Linked DNA regions of Rhinolophus ferrumequinum. The protein of the gene in region 2 interacts with the protein of the main gene of each other region in a pairwise test. Links are inferred from orthologs where the notes say so. Each region holds a gene or a part of one and is shown on either strand. Other genes may lie near its edges.

The links.
Region 1: the proteins of TRIP6 (region 2) and NEU4 interact in binary tests that used the Homo sapiens proteins (3 or more experiments, as listed by UniProt). The two-hybrid records come from large-scale screens. The link is inferred for Rhinolophus ferrumequinum from reciprocal best matches to the Homo sapiens genes TRIP6 and NEU4.

The regions. Positions count from the first base shown.
Region 1 is NC_046291.1:66,431-75,505, reverse strand, and holds the start of NEU4 (sialidase-4), read left to right. Parts: upstream 1-4,307; 5' UTR 4,308-4,353; intron 4,354-5,125; exon of another isoform or gene 5,126-5,310; intron 5,311-5,452; exon of another isoform or gene 5,453-5,596; intron 5,597-7,002; exon of another isoform or gene 7,003-7,053; 5' UTR 7,054-7,056; coding exon 7,057-7,257; intron 7,258-7,350; coding exon 7,351-7,606; intron 7,607-8,526; coding exon 8,527-9,075. Other genes in the region: GAL3ST2 (galactose-3-O-sulfotransferase 2), read left to right, coding at 235-318, 1,688-1,952, 2,681-3,499. UniProt on the Homo sapiens protein: Exo-alpha-sialidase that catalyzes the hydrolytic cleavage of the terminal sialic acid (N-acetylneuraminic acid, Neu5Ac) of a glycan moiety in the catabolism of glycolipids, glycoproteins and oligosacharides.
Region 2 is NC_046290.1:91,071,577-91,081,282, reverse strand, and holds TRIP6 (thyroid receptor-interacting protein 6), read right to left. Parts: upstream 4,770-9,706; 5' UTR 4,445-4,769; coding exon 4,336-4,444; intron 4,075-4,335; coding exon 3,947-4,074; intron 3,856-3,946; coding exon 3,730-3,855; intron 3,444-3,729; coding exon 3,054-3,443; intron 2,734-3,053; coding exon 2,640-2,733; intron 2,529-2,639; coding exon 2,359-2,528; intron 1,904-2,358; coding exon 1,725-1,903; intron 1,464-1,724; coding exon 1,343-1,463; intron 1,231-1,342; coding exon 1,099-1,230; 3' UTR 960-1,098; downstream 1-959. Other genes in the region: SLC12A9 (solute carrier family 12 member 9), read right to left, coding at 5,296-6,185, 8,098-8,244, 8,454-8,628, 8,799-8,991, 9,133-9,257, 9,427-9,509, 9,626-9,706. UniProt on the Homo sapiens protein: Relays signals from the cell surface to the nucleus to weaken adherens junction and promote actin cytoskeleton reorganization and cell invasiveness. Involved in lysophosphatidic acid-induced cell adhesion and migration.

The sequences.
Region 1 (9,075 bases), on a different chromosome or scaffold from region 2:
GACCTGCTCTTGCCTCTGCTCCGACTCCCAGGGATTGAGTCTGCCTCTCAGCTTCTCCTGGGTCGGGGGCTGAGAGGGTGTGTAGTCTGATTATTCGTGCCCCCACAGGCTGGCACAGAATAGGTGTTTGATAGGAGCTGTCACATGGATGATGGTGGGGCAAGGTGGGGTGGGATGGGTGGCGTCAGGCCATCCCATGCCCGACTGGGGGCCGACGTGTTCTCCTGTCTGCAGGTGCTTTTGGGCTATCGTCCTCTTGGCCCTGATCCTGTTTCTGCTGGCTGGCCTCCTGCATGTGGATGTCACGATGTTTTCACCGTGAGTGTTGCACTGGGTTTTGGTCTGGGCACTGCTCCCCTCCAAACCAGTACCAGGGCCCCCAGCCTGCCCCCCTCGGGGTGGCCAGTGACTAGGATGGGTCACACGTCCCCTCCTTAAGAGGAGGGCTGGACCCTTCCTTTGGGGGACGTATTAGCTTCCTGGGACCTTCCTGTGGGCAGTGAGGAGATCTCTGAGAGGGTGGGGACTTGGCCCAGGCTGGAGGTGTCTCGGGTAAAGCTGCTGTGGGCAGAGGGTGACCAGGTACTAGGAGACGGGGGGGGCCCATAGTGGGTCAGGGGAGGTCAGCACCCCTGTTCCCCTGCCTGCCGGTGGTACGTCCTCTGTGAAGGGCATGGGCCACAGGATGGCCACACAGGCCCAGCACCTTAGCCTGGCTGCTGGGAGAGTCTTGAGGCCCCAGGCCACCTTCCCCTGCCCCCACCCCACCCCTCTGGTTGGATCTCCACGGGAGATTGGGGAGTGCAAAAGACCCCTGGGTCTCTTTGCCACCCCCTCCTCACCATTGTCCCCAGGGCCAGCGTAGACTACAGAAAATAGCATTCAGTGAATACGGGTTTGTGACAGTGGCCTTTTCTATGAGGAAAATAAAAGGATTTAAAATTCTTAAACACTTAATGCCTGTCAGAAAAAGGATCATCTTCCAATAACACTTAATTTTGCATTTCAAAAACAATGCCCAGCATTTTGGACCCTGTTTCCTACCATCCTGGGTCATCTTTACTGGCCTTGCTTTGGGGACCTGCATAGAGCAGGGTGGGCACCTACTGCTCCAATCTGGAGTCCACAGCTGGGTGGGTGCTATCATGAGATCACAGAAGTGGGCACCAGCATCCACCTGGGCCCTGCAGTCAGGTTGGCCAGTCCTGATTTGAAGGGTCAGCCAAGAAATGCCAGATGTGTGGCCCAGGTTACATGCCAGAGGCCTTGGGAACCACGCAGGAAGTTGGGAGGCTGAAGGGGGTGCCAGGGTCTGGGGGCCCAGTCTGATATGTGGGGGCAGATGGTGCAGCCACTTAGAAAGAATTGTGTCTGTGCCAGTGGGTCCTCGGGGGCTGCAGGTTTGGGGTTCTCTAGGTTAGGGGGAGCACAGAAGTGGGGCTGGGGGTTATAGGGTTGGGGTGTCACCAGTATGGGGAGTGCAGGTTGGGGGATCTTGGATTGGGGGAATCATAGTGATAGAAGAGAGTTTCGGGGTCTCCAGGTTGAGGGGATTGCTGGGTTGGGGGTCATGCAGTTGGGGGAGCAAGTTGTGGGGGTGCTGGGTCGGGGTGTCTCAGACTGCGGGTTGGTGGGGACAGGGGAGGGGCTCCGTCACTAACAGTGGCTGGCTGTGCTGTCCTCCCAGCTTGTTTGGGGACCAGGCTGAGGGGCCACCCATCACCAACGTCATGTTTCTCAAGACGCACAAGACCGCCAGCAGCTCGGTGCTGAACATGCTCTTCCGATTTGTGGAGACACGCAACCTGTCGGTGGCGCTGCCCGCTGGCTCACGCGTCCACCTGGGTTACCCCTGGCTCTTCCTGGCGCACTATGTGGAGGGCGTGAAGCAGGACGGCGCCCAGCAGCGCTTCAATGTCATGTGCAACCATTTGAGGTTTAATCTGCCTGAGGTGCGGCTGGGGCTGGGACCTCAGTGTGGGGGCAAGGGAGAGTGGTGAGGGGGTGGGGCTCAACCCCAGGGCCCACCTTTGACTTTGCGGTGTGACCGTGGGGGAGGTATCAAGGCCTGGAAGCTGCAGAGACTAAGGCTGGGGGTTGTGTGCAGGGATCTGGCAGGAGGGGGCTGGTAGAGGCCCCTTGGAACACCCTGCCAGCCCCCCACCCCTTCACACCCCACTGCCAGTTGCCAATCATTGCTTTTGGAATCTGAAGCAGGCGCCCTCACAGCCTGCCACCCTCTCCCTCTTCTTCTCCAGCCTCCTTTTGGTTCCCAAACCTGCCCAGTTTTTCCCACCCCAGGACCTTTGCACTTGCTGTCCCCTTTGGTGGGGAAGCTCTTCACATCTCCTCCTGGGGTCATTTGGGTCTCAGCTTAGAGGTCACCTCCTCTTGGGGGGCTTCCCTGACCTCCCATCCAGGAGAAAGAGGAGCAAGGAGAGGGAATTTGGGGGAGGGGTGTGGCTGTTTCAGGTGATTTGGATCATTGTGGACAGTCGTGGAGGGTGGTTGTCAGGGCAGCCAGGTGGCCTGGACATGATGCAGGGAGATCACGTGGGAGAGGTGGTGGGCAGGTCCAGGTGTGCTGTGGGGTGGGGGCGGGGGAGAAGAGACCACCTGACCCGTGGGCTGCCCCCAAGGAGCCCTGAGTGGCAGCAGGCCTTGTTTTGTCTCCACACAGGTGCAGAAAGTCATGCCCAACGACACTTTCTACTTTTCCATCCTCAGAAACCCTGTCTTCCAGCTGGAGTCTTCCTTCATCTATTACAAAGACTACGTCCCCGCCTTCAGGAACGCCGAGAACCTGGACGCCTTCCTGGCCTCCCCGCTCACCTATTACAACCAGAGTCTGAGCCTGCGAAACGCCTACGCCAAGAACAACATGTGGTTCGACCTCGGCTATGACCACAACGCGCCCGCGGAGGAGAACTACGTGCGCGCGCGCCTGGCGGAGGTGGAGCGGCGCTTTCAGCTGGTGCTCATGGCCGAGTACTTCGACGAGTCCATGGTGCTGCTGCGGCGCCGGCTGCGCTGGCGGCTGGACGACGTCGTGTCCTTCAGGCTCAACGCGCGCAGCCAGCGCAGTGTCACCAGTCTGACGCCCGAGGGCCAGGAGCGCGCCAAGCGCTGGTGCGCCTTGGACTGGCGCCTCTACCAGCACTTTAACCGCACCTTCTGGGCCCAGGTGCACGCAGAGCTGAGTCCTCTGCGCCTGCGCGTGGAGGTGGCACGTCTGCGGGCGCGGCGGCGTGAGCTCATGGCCCTGTGCCTGCAGGACGGCGGGCCCAAGGACAAGAAGCAGATCACTGACCTCCACCTGCGCCCCTACCAGTCGGGCAAGGCCGACATCCTGGGCTACAACCTCCGGCAGGGCCTGGACAACCAGACGCTGCAGGTGTGCCAGAGGATGGTCACGCCGGAGCTGCAGTACATGGCCCGTCTGTACGCCCAGCGGTTCCCGGAAAAGCCCCCCAAGGACATCTCCTTCCTGGAGGCCTGACTGTTGGCAGCCCGTCTGCTGTCATCCTGGGAGGCCTGGGGCATGGCCTCAGGCTCGGAGCAGGGCTCCTGGGGCATCTGGAGAGCCAGGCCCTGCCAGACTGTGGGTCTTATGGGTGAAAATGCCTATGAAGAGAACTACCCGTGACTCACCCTCTTGGTGAGGGTCCCAAATCTAGGTCAGTAAGCACACATGACGTGTGAGGATGTGAATCTATTCACCAAATAGAAAAGTCTCACAAGGTAGGAAAGTGAGAGTGACCATTAATGACGTCAACACACCACCTGTCAGGGGGGCATGTATGGACACACCGCCGGTCAGGAGTGCAGGAGCCCAGGGAGTGGCTGGCTGTCGTGCGGAGCGGCCTGCGGGGTCTCTGGTCCCGCTCCCCACACAAGAACGCAGGATATGGCTAGGCCAAAAAGGAACACCCACGGAGCCATAGGTAGGGGAGTCATACTACTATGGTCTCACTGGAGGCAGGGTTTACACGACGTGCGACCTGCTGTCCGCTTTGCTACCAACCGACCGACTCTCCTCCACTCTCCTTCAGTCTCCTCCTCTCTCCTCGACTTCCCTCCGTAGCCACGGCAGTTATATTAGTGGCCAATGGGTCAATGGTTACAGCTGACAGCCAACCAGCCACAGCTGATGGCTATCTACTACCTGAGCCAGCACCTTTCCACATGAGGCCGAGAGCCTGGAAACTGCTTTCTGGGGCTCTGTCCCCACACTGGCTGTCATGCAGATGAGATGGCACCCCCCTCCCGCCTTGTGGCCTCTTCCCACCCCCCTCCCCAGTTTTCCCTCGTAAGTTCTCTCAGGCCCAGAGGATCTGAAGGGACACAGAGCAGGTATGTCATTTCCTCGTGGACATCATATGATGTCTTAATGTTCCCAGAGCCTGTTTCTCCCTTTGAAGTCCTGTCACATTGAAGGGAGGGGGCAGGAAAAGGAGGGCAGGTGGGTCCCAGGACTTCCCTGAGAAGGCTGACCCTCTGAGAGCTGCTTTCACAGACAGCACCTTTCCTGATGCCCTGGCCCAGGCAGTGGTCACCCAGACATTGGCCACAGGGCAGCGGTCACAGGGCAGTGGCCACAGGGCTGCGGCCACAGGGCAGCGGTCAGCCATGAAATCACCTTGGAGACAGCAGGAGGGGATGGGTTAATGGGGCCTGGCTGGCAGGACCCTGGGGAAGGGTTGGGATACTGACCTGCCTGGTCTGAGCCAGGCTCCTGAGCACAGACATGGGGTTGGAGCCCAGTGAGGGTGGCAGGTGCTGAGTCCTGGGGGCTGGGGGAGAGGCAGGCTGGCACATAGGCTGGGGTGTGAGGGTTCACGGAGGTTCCTGGAGGCTCTGAGCACTCACTTTTGTTCTTAGGGGACGGGTCTCTGCAGGATGCCTGGGGGCAGCTGTGGCCACCCTGCCCCCAGGTCCTGAGCACCTCCGGTGGAGTGGGTCAGCCAGCATAGAGGAGCCCTGTGTGGCCCCGTCCTGACACTGTCCCCCACCCTGGGTGTCCTGCTGCACCAGAGCCGCAGGGCTGGCAGGAGGGTCCTGGGTCCTGACGCAGCTCTGGGACAAGGCCAGCTCCCGCCTCCCGCCCATACAGTGGGCCCTTGTCTCTGCGTGCTCACTGGGGCTGAGAGGCAGGCAGGCACTCCCGTGGCTACCCCACAGCCAGCTCTGCGGCTTTCCTGCGGGTGCCTGGTGAGTCCCCTCCCTGCTCGCTGCACCCTGGCTGCCGGGGGCCAGGATCGGGCTCTTTCTGTCCCCTCTGGCTGCCCCTCTTTGGGCGGAGGGCCATAGGTGTGTATTCCGCGGGCCCTCCAGTCAGAGGTTCCACACGGATCCCCAGTGGAACAATTTCCTGGCCCCGGGGCAGGTGTGACATTGAAGGGCGGGGTGAGGAGGTGGGAGGGTGTGGGGGGTAAGTTAGGGATGGGAAGGATGCAGACTGGTGTCAGGCGGCAAGACGGAAGCCGAGGCCCGGCCCCAGCCTGCAGGGTCAGATGGGCCTGTGAGTGAGGATGCTCCACCAGCCGGAGGGATCTGTAACTGAGTCCTTGCCTGGGACAGAACACAGGGCACTCAGGTTAGATGGAACCCCAGCCTGAGGTGCCAGAGCCAGGGAGGTCCTCTTCCTGGTTTCTATGCAGAGGGCCTCTGCTCTTCATGTGTGCATTTTAGTTCCTTGTCCAAAGAACAAAAGAAGTGGTGACACAGGAGGGAGGGTGTGGAGCTAGCCTGCGTGCTCCAGCACAGAGTCCTGACAGGACAGGCTGTGGGCAGGTCTGGGGCAAGCCCCTGTGAAGGCAGAATGACCCCCAACAACTTTCCCGGGGTCCAGGGTCAGAGGCCAAGTTCTCTTGGAGGCCTCAGTTTCCCCTTCTGCGATGTGCCTCTCCCAGAGAGCCCCACTGGGGAGGGAAGATGGGTACCAAGAAATAGAGGGGCTGGCTCCAGTTAACCCTGGTATGTAGACATCGGATCAAGCCAAAGCTGTGGAACCTGCTGAATTGGCCAAATTGGGCAGGGCTGACTCTTCCTCTTAGATTGAGGGGGCTTCCCCAGGACTTTGGGGCTCTGGCCCGGGCAAGGAGTGCCCAGCAGCCCTGTCCCATTCTGTCCAGCTGGTCTTGGGGGCCTCCGTCTCTTCCATCTGTCCCCAGAAGGGGGTAGACCTGGGCCCCTTGCTTCTGCGCCCAGTGGTCTCAGTACCAGGGGAGAGAGCCAAGTGGAGAGAATGTCCCACTGTGTCCATTCAGCCTGGAGGGACACGTGGCACTCACATCTGTGTGCTGCTTGGGCACAACTGCCCCTTGGATGCAGACTGGGAATGGGGCCCAGGGCTTCAGGGACATGGGCAGCTGTTGTCCGAAACCCCAGAGCCGAGTGGGGTGGGCAGACCTGAGGTTAGGCAGGGGTCTGCTAGGCTCAGCGGGCAGCAGGGCCATCCTGGAGAGAGGTGGCTCAGGTCTGTCTGTGTCAGGGACCTCAGGCATGGAGACACCCTATCCTGTGCGTCGGAGCGAGGCCCCTCTCGTTTAGGGGTGTGTGTGTGTATGTTCATTCTCATCATATGCTGCCCATCCGATGGTCTCCTCCCATATGCTGTGTGCCTTCTCCCCCTCAGCGACATCTGCAGCACCCAGCCCACCTGGCCCACCCTCCCTGGGACCCCTAATTGGGGACACTGAACCCCTTCTTGTGCAAAGCCTTGTGTTTTGATTGGGCACTTGGGCAGCTGTGTGCTGAGCAGGTTCATGAGGACATGTCCCAGGCACACAGGTGGGTCGGTCGGGGGTTCTGGCCATGCTCCCCTGCTTCACCTCGGTGAGCTGTGCTGACAGGAAGGGCTGATTCCAGACATTTGGGGAACATTGGCTGTGGAGGAGGGGTGGGTAGGGATCCAGGGATAGGACGGTAGGAGGTGGGCACAGGAGTTGGCTGGGCGTGGGTGGGGGCGTCTACGCCTGCAAAGCCCCCTCCTCCATCCAGACCAAGAGAGCTTGGACCCTGCCTGCTGACCCGCTGGTCCTCGGCCCGCAGAGCATGGGGGTCCCCCGAGTCCCCGCACGGAACGTGCTCTTCCAGAGCGAGAGAAGCGGCCTGACCTACCGCGTGCCTGCGCTGCTGCCCGTGCCCCCCGGGCCCACTCTGCTGGCCTTCGCGGAGCAGCGACTCAGCCCTGACGACACACACGCCCACCGCCTGGTGCAGAGGCGCGGCACGCTGGCGGGGGGCTCCGTGCTGGTGAGAGATTGGGCAGGGGGGGAGGGGTCGGGGGTCGGGGACGGGCGCCCAGTGTGTGAGGGCAGGAAGCTGAAGCCCCTCACCTCCCGCCAGTGGGGCGCCGCGCGTGTGATGGGCACCGCGGCCCTGGAGGGGCACCGCTCCATGAACCCCTGCCCGGTGCACGATGCGCGCACCGGCACCGTCTTCCTCTTCTTCGTGGCGGTGCGCGGCCGCACGCCCGAGGCCGCACAGATCGCCGCGGGCCGGAACGCCGCGCGCCTCTGCTGCGTGACCAGCCAGGACTCGGGGCGCAGCTGGGGCGGAGCGCGGGACCTCACGGCGGAGGCGGTGGGCGGCGCCGAGCGGGGTAGGTGGGCGCACGCGGGTCCACACCGGGGGTGGTCTGCAGGCGATAGGGTGGGGGACAGTCTGGCTCCTGGTCCCTGGGCTGCCCGTCCCGCTCCGCCCCGCCCCCAGCCTAAGGGACCCGACACAACGTTTGTGGGTGGTTGCATCCCCGAACCCCTCAGTCTCCCAAACGGCTGTTGGTCACACCCAGCCTGGCCTGGCGACAGGAGCAGGCTCTTCCATCTTCCTGAGCTGTGTCTGAATCTGAGCCCCCAAACCCCAAGGCCTCCACTCCTTAACCACTTCCTCCTCCTGCTCCTTCTCACCTCGCCCAGTGAGTCCCAGCCGCGGGTTGCCGGCAGGTCCAAGGTCGGCCTTACCTCATAGTTTTCCCTCCACTTCTGCTGGCCCCTCCCCAAGGGCCTGACCACCCACTGCTCTCAGGGGCCACCCCAATCCTGGCAGGTGGGAGTAAACTGAAGGTCGTAGCAGGCTCTGAGACCTGGACAGGACACACAGAGCTAATGAAAAAGTACCTGCTGGTGTAGACCCCACCCCCCCGGGCCTGGGCTCAGGCCAGGGGAAGCTGCCTGAGACCCAGTCCTGAAGCTTGGCTCACCCGACCCCTGGGCTGCCCCTCTGTCTGGCCAGTGCTCACACCAGTGTTCAGAGACTGGCCACCTGCTGACATGCTGAGAATCTAGCCAAATGGCCTGCCTGGACTCCCCACTCCTGCTAAGGGCCTGGAGAGGCTGGAGCAGCTGGGAGGACACAGGGTGGCTGGGAGGAGGGGAGGCGTGGTCAACGGGAGGCTTCCTCACAAGCCATACCGTAGACTTAGGCACTGTCCCCCACCTCGCCCTCTCCCTGCATCTTCCCAGTCCCTCGCAGCTGAGGCTGTCCCCTTCTGGGGTAACCAGCAGCCCCTCCCATCTGCAGACTGGGCCACGTTTGCTGTGGGCCCTGGCCATGGCATCCAGCTGCGCTCGGGCCGCCTGCTGGTACCAGCCTACACCTACCGCGTGGACCGACGTGAGTGTTTTGGCAAGATCTGCAGGACCAGCCCCCACGCCTTCGTTTTCTACAGCGATGACCATGGCCAGACCTGGCAGCATGGAAGCCTCGTGCCCAACCTGCGCTCGGGCGAGTGCCAGCTGGCTGCGGTGGATGGAGGGCAGGCTGGCAGTATCCTCTACTGCAATGCCCGGAGCCCCCTGGGCAGCCGTGTGCAGGCGCTCAGCTCAGACGAGGGCACCTCCTTCTTGCCTGGGGAACTGGTGCCCACCCTGGCCGAGACCGCCCGTGGCTGCCAGGGCAGCATTCTGGGCTTCTCGGCCCCGCCCTCTTGCAGGTCTGGGGATGAGGGATGCTCAGTGGGTCCCAAGAAGGCCCCCTCCCTTCCAAGCCCGTGTCCTGGAGTCCAGACACCCCTAGAGAAGGGTGCTGGAGACACCCAAGGGGGTGGGGGGCTGGGTGGGACACAGGGGT
Region 2 (9,706 bases):
CATCTCGCAGGGCAGGGGCTTGGGGAATGCGGGGTTTAGCGGGATAGAGGAACCATTTTAAAGTATTTCCCACCATTTTGTGCTCCCACCGGAGATCAGTCTTTATTGGTGCCTCCGTATGTGCTGCCTGCAAAACCCATTGTTCCTGCTCTAATGCTGCAAAGGGGGCTCCTCTTGTAGGCAAAACTGGCAGATCTCAGCCTCATCCCCAACCAGTACTTTGATGAGATACGCAGTGGGTTGAGGTCTTGATAAACAGGCAGTATCTGGTTTGCCCCAGATTAAATGCAGCGCCACCCCAGGTATAACACCAAGTCCTTGTTCAGTGAGTTGAGTATGAAGGCGTCCTAGGAAATGCTGCCTCCCTGGAGCATGCTGCTGCCTCGCTCCCAGCACTGAGAGGAGGGGTGTCATTATACCAAACTACATTGAAGAGTATACAGTCATTCCTTGGTCTCTGCAGGGATTTGGTTCCAGGATGCCTGGGGATACCAAATCCGTGGATGCCCAAATCACATATAAATGGTGTAGTATTTATATACGTACATATTTATATACGTATATCCTGTATGCTTCAAATCATCTCTGTGTTACTTATAATAAATACCTAATACAACGTAAGTGCTATACTGTACTGTTTAGGGAATAATGACAAGGAAAAAAATCTGTACCATGTTCAGTACCAAGTGCAACCATGGTAGGCCTAACTACACAGTACACGTAAGACAGATGTAACTTTTTTCCTGAGTATTTTCTATCCTCGATTGATTGAACCCAGGATAGAGAACCAACTGTACTAGAGTTGCAAATAATTGGACCAGGGCTAAGAAGACCCAGGTTCTGCCACTTGGGAACCATGCAATCTGGGGAAGTCACTTCTCAGTTAAAAATACAGTCACAACAGGTATGCTTGTGTTGACTGCTGTGAGAATCAGATGAGACAATAATAGACTCAAAAGTGTTTTGTAAACTCTTGGGAGATTATTATTTCATGATTAGAGGAAGAGAAAACAGCATTTAGTGACAAAGTTGTAAAGGTAGATGTCAGGGAAGGTGGTCGATGAGAAGGAAGAACGCAGCAGTTGCTTCTGGGAAGACTCAGCAGTCAGTGGTGACGGTGGCTGAGAGCTCCTGGATGCGCCAGGCGCTACAGGCCTTGCACAAGATGTGCCCATCCAGCGGATAACAGCCCTGACACTCACCCTCAGAGGAGAGCAGCAGCCCACACTCCTATTAGGAAAAAAGCAACAGCTTTCCATCAGGCCCAAACCCCTGGTTTCTACCATACCCAATATCCCCAGACCCCAATAACCCCAATAACCCCTTGCCCAGACCCCCTGACCTCGCACTTGTAACAGCCGATGTGAAAACTGCGATCCAGAGCAACAATTCGCACGGTCTCCTCCTGACCTGGCTCAGGCATGATGGCCCCACCACACACTGAGCATCGTGGAGCGAACTTCCTGGTGTAGAAGGGAACCAAGGAGGGTGTCAAGCCCCAGGTGTGGAGGGGACTGACGGTAGAGCCCAGAGAAGATGAGATGCGGAAGGGAACAGAAGAGCCCAGAGGTATGGTCTTGGATTTGGGGGAAGAGTGATGTTAACGAGAACAAGGCATGGCAAGGGTGAGAAACAGGAGAGGCTGGTACTGGGACAGGAAGAAGAAATGAGGAAGACAGGAAAGGCCAGACATCCTGAGCCAAAGGTGGGGGACCCAGCCTGACCTGTGGAAGTCCTCAATGCAGTGGATCTGGCTGGTGGCATCCACCGTGAAAGGGATGCCATCGAGGCCACGATGGCACACCACACAAGTGAAGCAGCCAGGGTGATAGGCCTTCCCCATAGCCCGCAGGATCCGGTCCAGGATAGGCTGAGAACATGTGGAGCACTTCTCCAAGGTGGCCTGTTGGGAAGGAGGTCAGAAAGGTCGGGGGCTGGGGAGGCCCACAGCAGCCCTACAGGCATCCTGCCACCCCACCCATCTGTTTATGGAGCCCCCTGCATATGATTTAGTGAAAGGTGGCCTTGTGCAGATCTGAGTGCAAATTCCAGCACTGCAGCTTCCTGAACAAGTTATTTGACTTCTCTGAGCTTCAATTTCCTTCAGTAGTAATATCTGCCTCACAGCATGTTGTGGGAATTTAACACTCTTTTAACTCCAAACTAAAAGCCTCACATTTGTAAGGGGCTGTTGTCCTTCCCCCAGCAGCCGGTGTTTAGCTACCTAATTCCTCCCTTCTTGTTTTAGTCCCCCAACTTTGAGCGCTCTTCCTCTTTGGGATTTGGACATCTTTCCCACCTTAGATGGAAGCCCCTTGCCTCCTCTGCTGATTCCAGCCTCCAGCCCCACCCACTCACCACATAGCAGCTCTCACAATATGCCCTCCTCTCCACGGCATAGAAATGTTGGCCCCGAAGCTGGGCCTGGCACGTAGAACACACAAAGCAGCTAACATGAAAGATGCGGTCCAGGGCCACAACCCCGGCCCCATCCCCAACCACATCTTCTCCGCAGCCACCACACCGGCCTGGGGACAGGGAGGGACAGGGTCAACCTGCATAGGCCAGGAAGCCAGGTCTGCTATCCCTCTGTCTCTCCAGCCCCCCACCCTTTCCACCCACCCTCAGACTTAGCTCACCAAAGTACTCCCCACTGGGCGGGTGGCTCATGTCGTGCACCAGCTTCTTGGTCAGCCTCTCGAGCTCCTCCTCGGGAGGCTGGCTCAGGGAGACCTGGGAGATGAGAATCAGAGGTTCAGCCCTACCTCTAGCTCTCGATGCTGTCAAAACACCTGAGGGTGACCAGGCAATTCCACCCAAAAAAGCTCTCGCTGAAGAACATGTCATCCCAGGGCCCAGGGACATGTCTCGAGCTAGTGTGCCACTCCAGCCCCCTACCTCCTACTTTTCCTGACCTGCCCCACATCCCCAGAGGGGTCCAGAGCTCTGGCACCCCAGACATCTGACAACCAGGCCTTAAATATCACTCCCATCCCACCCAATCAGTGTCCAATTGTCTGTGAGGACCCCAAATCTCAGTGCCTGGGGCTTACCTGGGGCCCATACCTGCCTCCTCTTCCTCCTCCTGCAGGGATGGAGACCCCAGCAGCCTCCTCTTTACCCCCGGGCCCTGGCTCTCGGTGGCTCCTATAGCCAGCCCCCCAGACTTCACTTCGGCCTGGGAGAGGAAAGTGGGGGCCCAGAAGGGGCCCAGAGGCCTGAGAGGCCCCCCGCCTGGGGGGGCCACAGCCTCTCACTGGTTGTGCCACCTTCACTTGCACAGGGAAGGCAGGGCCAGCGGGAGTGCTGGCTGTAGCATAGGAGGCTGGAGTGGGGCCCCCATAGGGGGACACTGGGAGCAGTGGGGGAGGAACACCACCTCCATTTGACTTCAGGGAGCCCAAGCCAGGGCGGTAGGCAGGGGGCTGAGGGGGCTCGTAAGCCTGGGGAGAAATGCAGAGGAAAAGGAGTGAGGTGGCCCATTACAGGACACACACCTGTGAACACCCCAGCCCCACCCCATGTGTGTGGCCACCAGGTAAGGGCTGGTTTCTGACAAAGGCCCACCCTGGAGAAGCTGACAACCCAGAAGTTCTGGTGGCCCAGCTCCTTCCATGCTGGTGTGTGGCATCACTTACACAGAGGGGGAGGTGAAGTGGGAGTAGGCTGAGTGGACAGAGAAGGGACAGGGCTAAGAAAAGGGGGGCAGGGGCAGGACAGGGGGGTCACCTGCCGGTCAGGCCTCCGAGGAGCATGACCACGACCCCCATCCAGCTCAGCCAGCATGCTAGTCAGAGAATCTATCTCAGCATCCAGACTTCCTGGGCGCTGGCCCCCCCTGTCTGGGGGGGGGCCCTAGGGATAGAGCAAAAGCAGGGAGAATGCAAATCACATGGCCTCCTCTCCCGCCCTGAATGCCCCCCAACCCCCCAATCCCAGTTCTCACCTGCGAACGCTGGGGTGTTCCATGGCAACCCACCCAGGCTGGCCCCAGATCCTCGGGCCCCCCAGGGACCTGGTAACACTGCTCAGATGGGAGGGGGCAAAAATTGACCCTGGGGTGGGGCTGAAGTGCTGGGGTGAGGGAAGAGAGTGAAGGTGGGGATGGGGAAGGAGACAAGGGTGACACTTGTGGAGGACCCTCTCAGGTCCTTTTCTCCCCTTCCCCCCAGATCCTGGGGTCTGAGAATGTGGCAGGAGGCAGGGAGGGCCGAGAAAGGGCAGGGGCAGCTGATTTCCAGCCTGGCTTCGGGGAAGGGGCGGCAGGGGAAAGCTCGGCGGGAGGCAGGGGCCCGCTGGCGGGTGGCTTCCTCCATCGCACAGGGGTTGCCTTACCTGCTCCGTGAGCTGGCGGCGGCCCCAGGGCGCCTCGGGGGAGAGCTCGCCCCAGAGAGGCTCTGGCGGGCTCTGGCTGCTTCGGGGGGAGCCAGGTGGGCCCCGACATGGCCTAGAATGGGCGTCTCCAGACAGCGCGTTCAGGGTCCCACGGAGCCCGAAGCCTCTGGACTTGACCCTTTCTTCGGTCGCTCACCTCGTTTGGGACTCCAGGAAAGAAACTTTTTCTGGCTTTTTTTCCCCTTCCTCCCTAATTTGGGGGACGGCCACGCCCCCGTGACGTCACCGCATTCCTGGGGGAGGGTCACGTGGCCCCCTAGGCCCTAAACCGCGTTCTTCCCCGGAGTCGGCCCCCTCCTGCCCAACAAGGAGGGCTTTCCACGGGAGCCCGTCTGAGGGGCCGTGGGCAGCTTCCATTTCCACGAGTCCCCCCAGGTCCGCTCCCCAAGTCCTGCACGTGGCCACCTCGCCTCTGGGACATTCCAGTGCTCCTCTTTCCCAGGTTCCCCTTATACAGATGTCTCCCTTTTCCAGTCCCACCTATCCCATCAGTAGTGTTCAGCCAGCAGTAGTGTTTTGGTCGTTTATTGACATTCAGCAGTTAGAAAAATAAAACAACAAAAACGTCACAACCTCACTGGTCAGTGAGTCTGTTGGGCAAAGGGAGACTGAGGTAGCCTAGACTCACAAGCGGAGACCCAGCCCCCATGAAGGCACCAATTAAGGGAGGGAGGGGGCAGGGCTGACTCCCTCTCCTTTGTGGCAGGGATAGCTTCCCAGCATTAGTGCACCAGGACCCCTCTCCCAAAGACAGAGAGATGCCCCAGCCCAGGATCCCCTAATACCTCTACCTGGCTCTGTGTCCCACATGCAGGGCAGGCCCAAGGTGGCCCTTCCCCTCCTCATCCACTAATCAAAGTGGGCCACCAGACCTGGACACTCCACTTCAGGAATGGAGCATCAGAGATCAGTGCAAGTGACAGGGGTGACACCATGAATGAGCAGTGTGGGACCCAGATCTCGGCTCAGAATCTCCAGAAGTGCCAGGTAGCGAGGGTAGCGCGCAGGATCAGCAGGTGGCCGAGGCAGGTATAGGAAGGTGAGGGCAGTGGTGGGCCCCTCCCTGCCATCCCCACTCTCAGGCCCCCCAGGCACTCCTCCTCTGCCTCGCCCCTGCTGGGCCCGAACCAGGGCGTTGGCGCTGCATGCCAGGGCCTCTGCCTCAGCGTCTCCTCGCCTGCCGTTCACAAAGTCCCCTTCCTCCTCCTCCTCAGGCTCTCCGGAACCAGCCCCATCGCCCCACACCACCTCCTGCACCTCAGCCCGGATCCTCAACTGGCTCAGCAGGGCTCGGAGTCGCCCCTCGGCCGCCCCTGGGGCCTCTCGAGGCCCCAGGCACAAGAAGATCCGTAGCCTGGCACTGTGCCAAGCAGGCACCATGCCCAAGATGGTTGCCATCTGCAGCAGGAAGAGACCGCAGACGTCCACATAGCCAGGCCCACCCCGGGGCCGCAGAAGGTTGAGGGGCCACACATCCACGTGATGGGGCTGAGAGGTGCCCCCAGACGCCCGGCTTAGCCGCTCAGGGGGCAGGGCCCCACAGGCTCTCGCCAGAACCACGTTCTTGTTCATCTTGAGGGCGTCCGCTACCGTGGCCACGTAGTCCTGGGGACTGAGAGCCCGGGGACTCCCAGGAGCCCGGGGTGGAGGGAACAGGGTGCTCAGGGCTGGGGACCCACCCTCCTGGGTGCCATCAGCAGGCTCAGAGAAAGCCGGGTCTGTCAGGAAGTGGTCCTGAGGTGCAGCATCATCGTAGAAACCCAGGACCAACGTGTTCGGCTTCATGCCACCTGGGGACAGAGAAGGGGAGGTGGGAAGGAACCGACAGGAATCAGACTCACCAGCTGAGTTTTCACCATGCGATACACATCCACTCGTACACACTGATGGCAACATTGGATATGACATTCATTCCACTGTGCTTGGGCTCTTAGGACAACATTATGCATGTTTGCATGATGACTTTTAGTTTTCCCACATTTGCATGCATTTATTTGACTTATCTCCATGACTAATCTTCCCTGTTTAAATAGGCAAAGCAAGTTCACCTTAAGATTCTTTTAACTAATGAGCACTTTTGGTGGCAGTAGGATGCCTTCAATCCAAGCTTCTAGCAGCACATCTTTTTCATGATGGGAGTCTGACTCCACTGGGTAGACCAGACCCCCTAATTAGTCAAGCTCATGGCCTCAATATCCAGGGAAACAGCACCCAGACCTTGCTGGGGGAGGATGAGAACTCAGGGCCGGGGCTGTGCAATCTCTTTCCCTAATGACGGCATGTCCAAAGCACGACGCCCAGAGATCAGACAGCTAACATCTATCTGCACACTAACCAGGGGCCACGTCCTATTGAAAGCACTTCATGTTTTAACTCATCTGATCCTTGAAGCAACACCATGAGGTAGGGACTATTTACTCACTCCCTTTTACAGATAAGGAAACTGAGGCCCAGAGCAGTGAAGTCACCTGCCCAAAGGCTCATGGATGGTAAATACTGGGGCGGCAGGTGAACACAATGTACCCAGCACTCCAGCCCATTCTCTGAGCCTCTGAGTTTGTATGTGTACCAATCACAACGCCCCAAGTCCCTGCCAACAGTTCCTGGTTTTTAAGTTTTTGAACAACCAATATGGAATTGGATAATTTCTCCACCCCCTCAAGAGGGGAGACTATGGAGGAAGACTCTGAGACCTCTCCTTAGACCCTTTCTCTTGAAACAAATGGGTTACCAGGAGAATTTACTATTTAAAGGAAATCTCTTTCCTTTTATTTGAATCATTTTCCACAGAATAAATTGCATGAAAGTAGTGGTCTCTTGGCATAGGTTTCCCCACAAAATGTGGGGCTGTGGAGAGACCAGGCCCTCAGCTGCTCCAGGGTCTATCTCATAATGCTTGACAACATCCAAAAACACCTTGGAACTCTAGCTGTTCTTGCAAATTAAACTAATCACACCCCCTCCTGAGCATTTTCCAGGGTTCTCATTTACACCAAATAGGGCAATGTCCAACACTTGATCTTTACCCTGATTCTAAGTGGAGAAGGAAGCATACACTCAGAGAGAGGGCAGACACCTGTACCGGGATTAAGAAAGAAGGAGGTGGCTGAGCAAAGATTTGGAGGAAGCTGGGGTGCAAGACCGGAGGCCTCAGCACTAAGACAGTCACAAAGCTGGGCATCTTCCATTCCACCCAAAAGCATCAGCCTCATACACCCTCTGCATCTCTGCGGTCTCTGGGGGCCATGTTACACCACTCCCTACTTCTCAGCCCCTTTCAAGGCCCAGCTGAAAGATCATCTCATCACAATACTTTTGCTGGCTATATCAGTGCATAGTGGTCTTCCTTTCTCGGAACTTGAGTGGTTAGAAACCATCTGTCACAGATTTGATGGGGCGGCCCCTGGCCTCAAATAATTCTCCCATTATCCCCAGAAATACAACATACTCTTTGGAATCTGTGCCCCAATTTTTGGATCAGAAAAAAATAAGTGTCACCCCATCTCTAGTCCTTAAACATCTCTTCCGAGACCTGACCACACACTGTTATCTTTGAGTGCTATGTCTTATCTGCACTAAACTGAGGGTTTGGAGTTTGTAATCTGCGGTCTAGTCTCTTGGGTGGTGGTGGGGTCACGGGTATAGCAGAGACTGACAAGAGCCACAAAGGAGGCAGAGGGGACCCAGAGAGGAGCAGCTTACCAAGACCCGAGATCCGCAGCAGATGCTGAGCCCCCTGACGCACAGAGGGTGAGAGGGTGAGGTCCACGAAGGCTTTCACTTGGGCCCGGTCCACGAGGCTCAGCCATGCCCCATACTGTGGCTGCACAGGGTCTGAGGGCAGGCAATCTGCAGAGAAGGAAAGCAGCAAATATGGGCCAAACTCATGGACTTTGTCCTAGAGTCCAAATCCCCAATGGGCAGAAGAAAAAGGTCTGGGAGGACTGTGTGCTGGTTGTTTAAGGTTCATCTGGGAAGAAGCATGAATCCTCTGGGACATAAAGAACACCAAGAGCTTCTGAGACCGACAGGGAAAGGAGGAATGGAGGGCAACTCACCAAGGTCTCCCAGGGTGACATGACCCAGCACATAGAGGCCCCCCTTCTTGAGCTGGTTGGCCAACCTCAGCAGGGGCAGGGCACCCCGGGGGTTCCCCACCAGCAGCAGCAGCTGGGGCCGCCAGAACTTCACGTGCTCCTTCCGGACGTCCAGCCGGAGCAGGTATTTACGCACCTGGGGACAGGGTAAGGTGGTGGGGAGGAAGGGCTTAAGTGGGCAGTCCCCACTCAACACATCTCAGACAGGAACCCTAACTCTAGCCAAGAGAAAAAGAGGCCTCCTTGTAGGGTAGGTTTTCCCAGACTGCCTCCTCCCCTTCCCACCCTCCTCCAAGCTCCCCTGACCTGGTGGAAAAGCAAGGCCTGGCTGACATAGCCCCAGCTGCTGGGGCCGCCTCGAGCAGTGAGCAGGGCAGAAAGCAGGCCCATGAGCAGCAAGGAGCCGCCAGCAGCCCCGGGGCTGATGAGAAACATCATGAGCAGGCAGGAGGCCACCCCCAGCAAGCAGGTGTGCCAGGAGAACAGACTGAAGGTGGGGCTGTAGGTAGACAGAAGGAAGGACACTCAGGACCGGCTGAACACTAGGCCACCCCACTCCAATCCCAGCCTCCCCACCTTGGTCTGAGTTCCTCCCATTCCTCCCTCTTTTTCTGGGGACATGGGCATCTTATTCTCTCACCGGAAGTTGGGGGCTGAGGCCCACTCCAGGCTCAGGCAGGACAGGTCCACCGCAGCATAGGCCACCAAATAGAAGACGGTGACCACTGCAGCCAGTGTGTTCAGCTTCCCAGCCAGAAGCACCAGCTGGACAAGGACCAAGAGGCTGGACATTGAGCCAACCCCCCACCAAATGCCAATGCATCCTGCCTTTCATTCACATCTCTCACCCAGAGCCTAAGCGCTCCTGATCCTGCGAGCGTAATCAGGAGGGGCTTAGGGTGAGGGGAAGGGCAGCTTAAAGAGGAAGGCTTACCTGTACTAGGCCCCATGAATAGAGCACGGCCCCCCAAGGGTTACCCCCTCGGGACACAACCTTGGCTGGTGCCAAGATCACTCCTGTGCAAACAGAAATACAACAGACCCATCAGCCTGGGTCTGTTGGGTCTGAACGGAGACTGAGAGACACGGGAGGGCACGCTCAGAGCCCGGCACGGAGGCAGGGGACAGTGTACCAAAGAGGTCGTCCTGGGCCAGGGCGTGAAGGATGCGGGAAGCACCGATGAGGGAGCTCATGGAGGCTGAGAGCGCTGTGG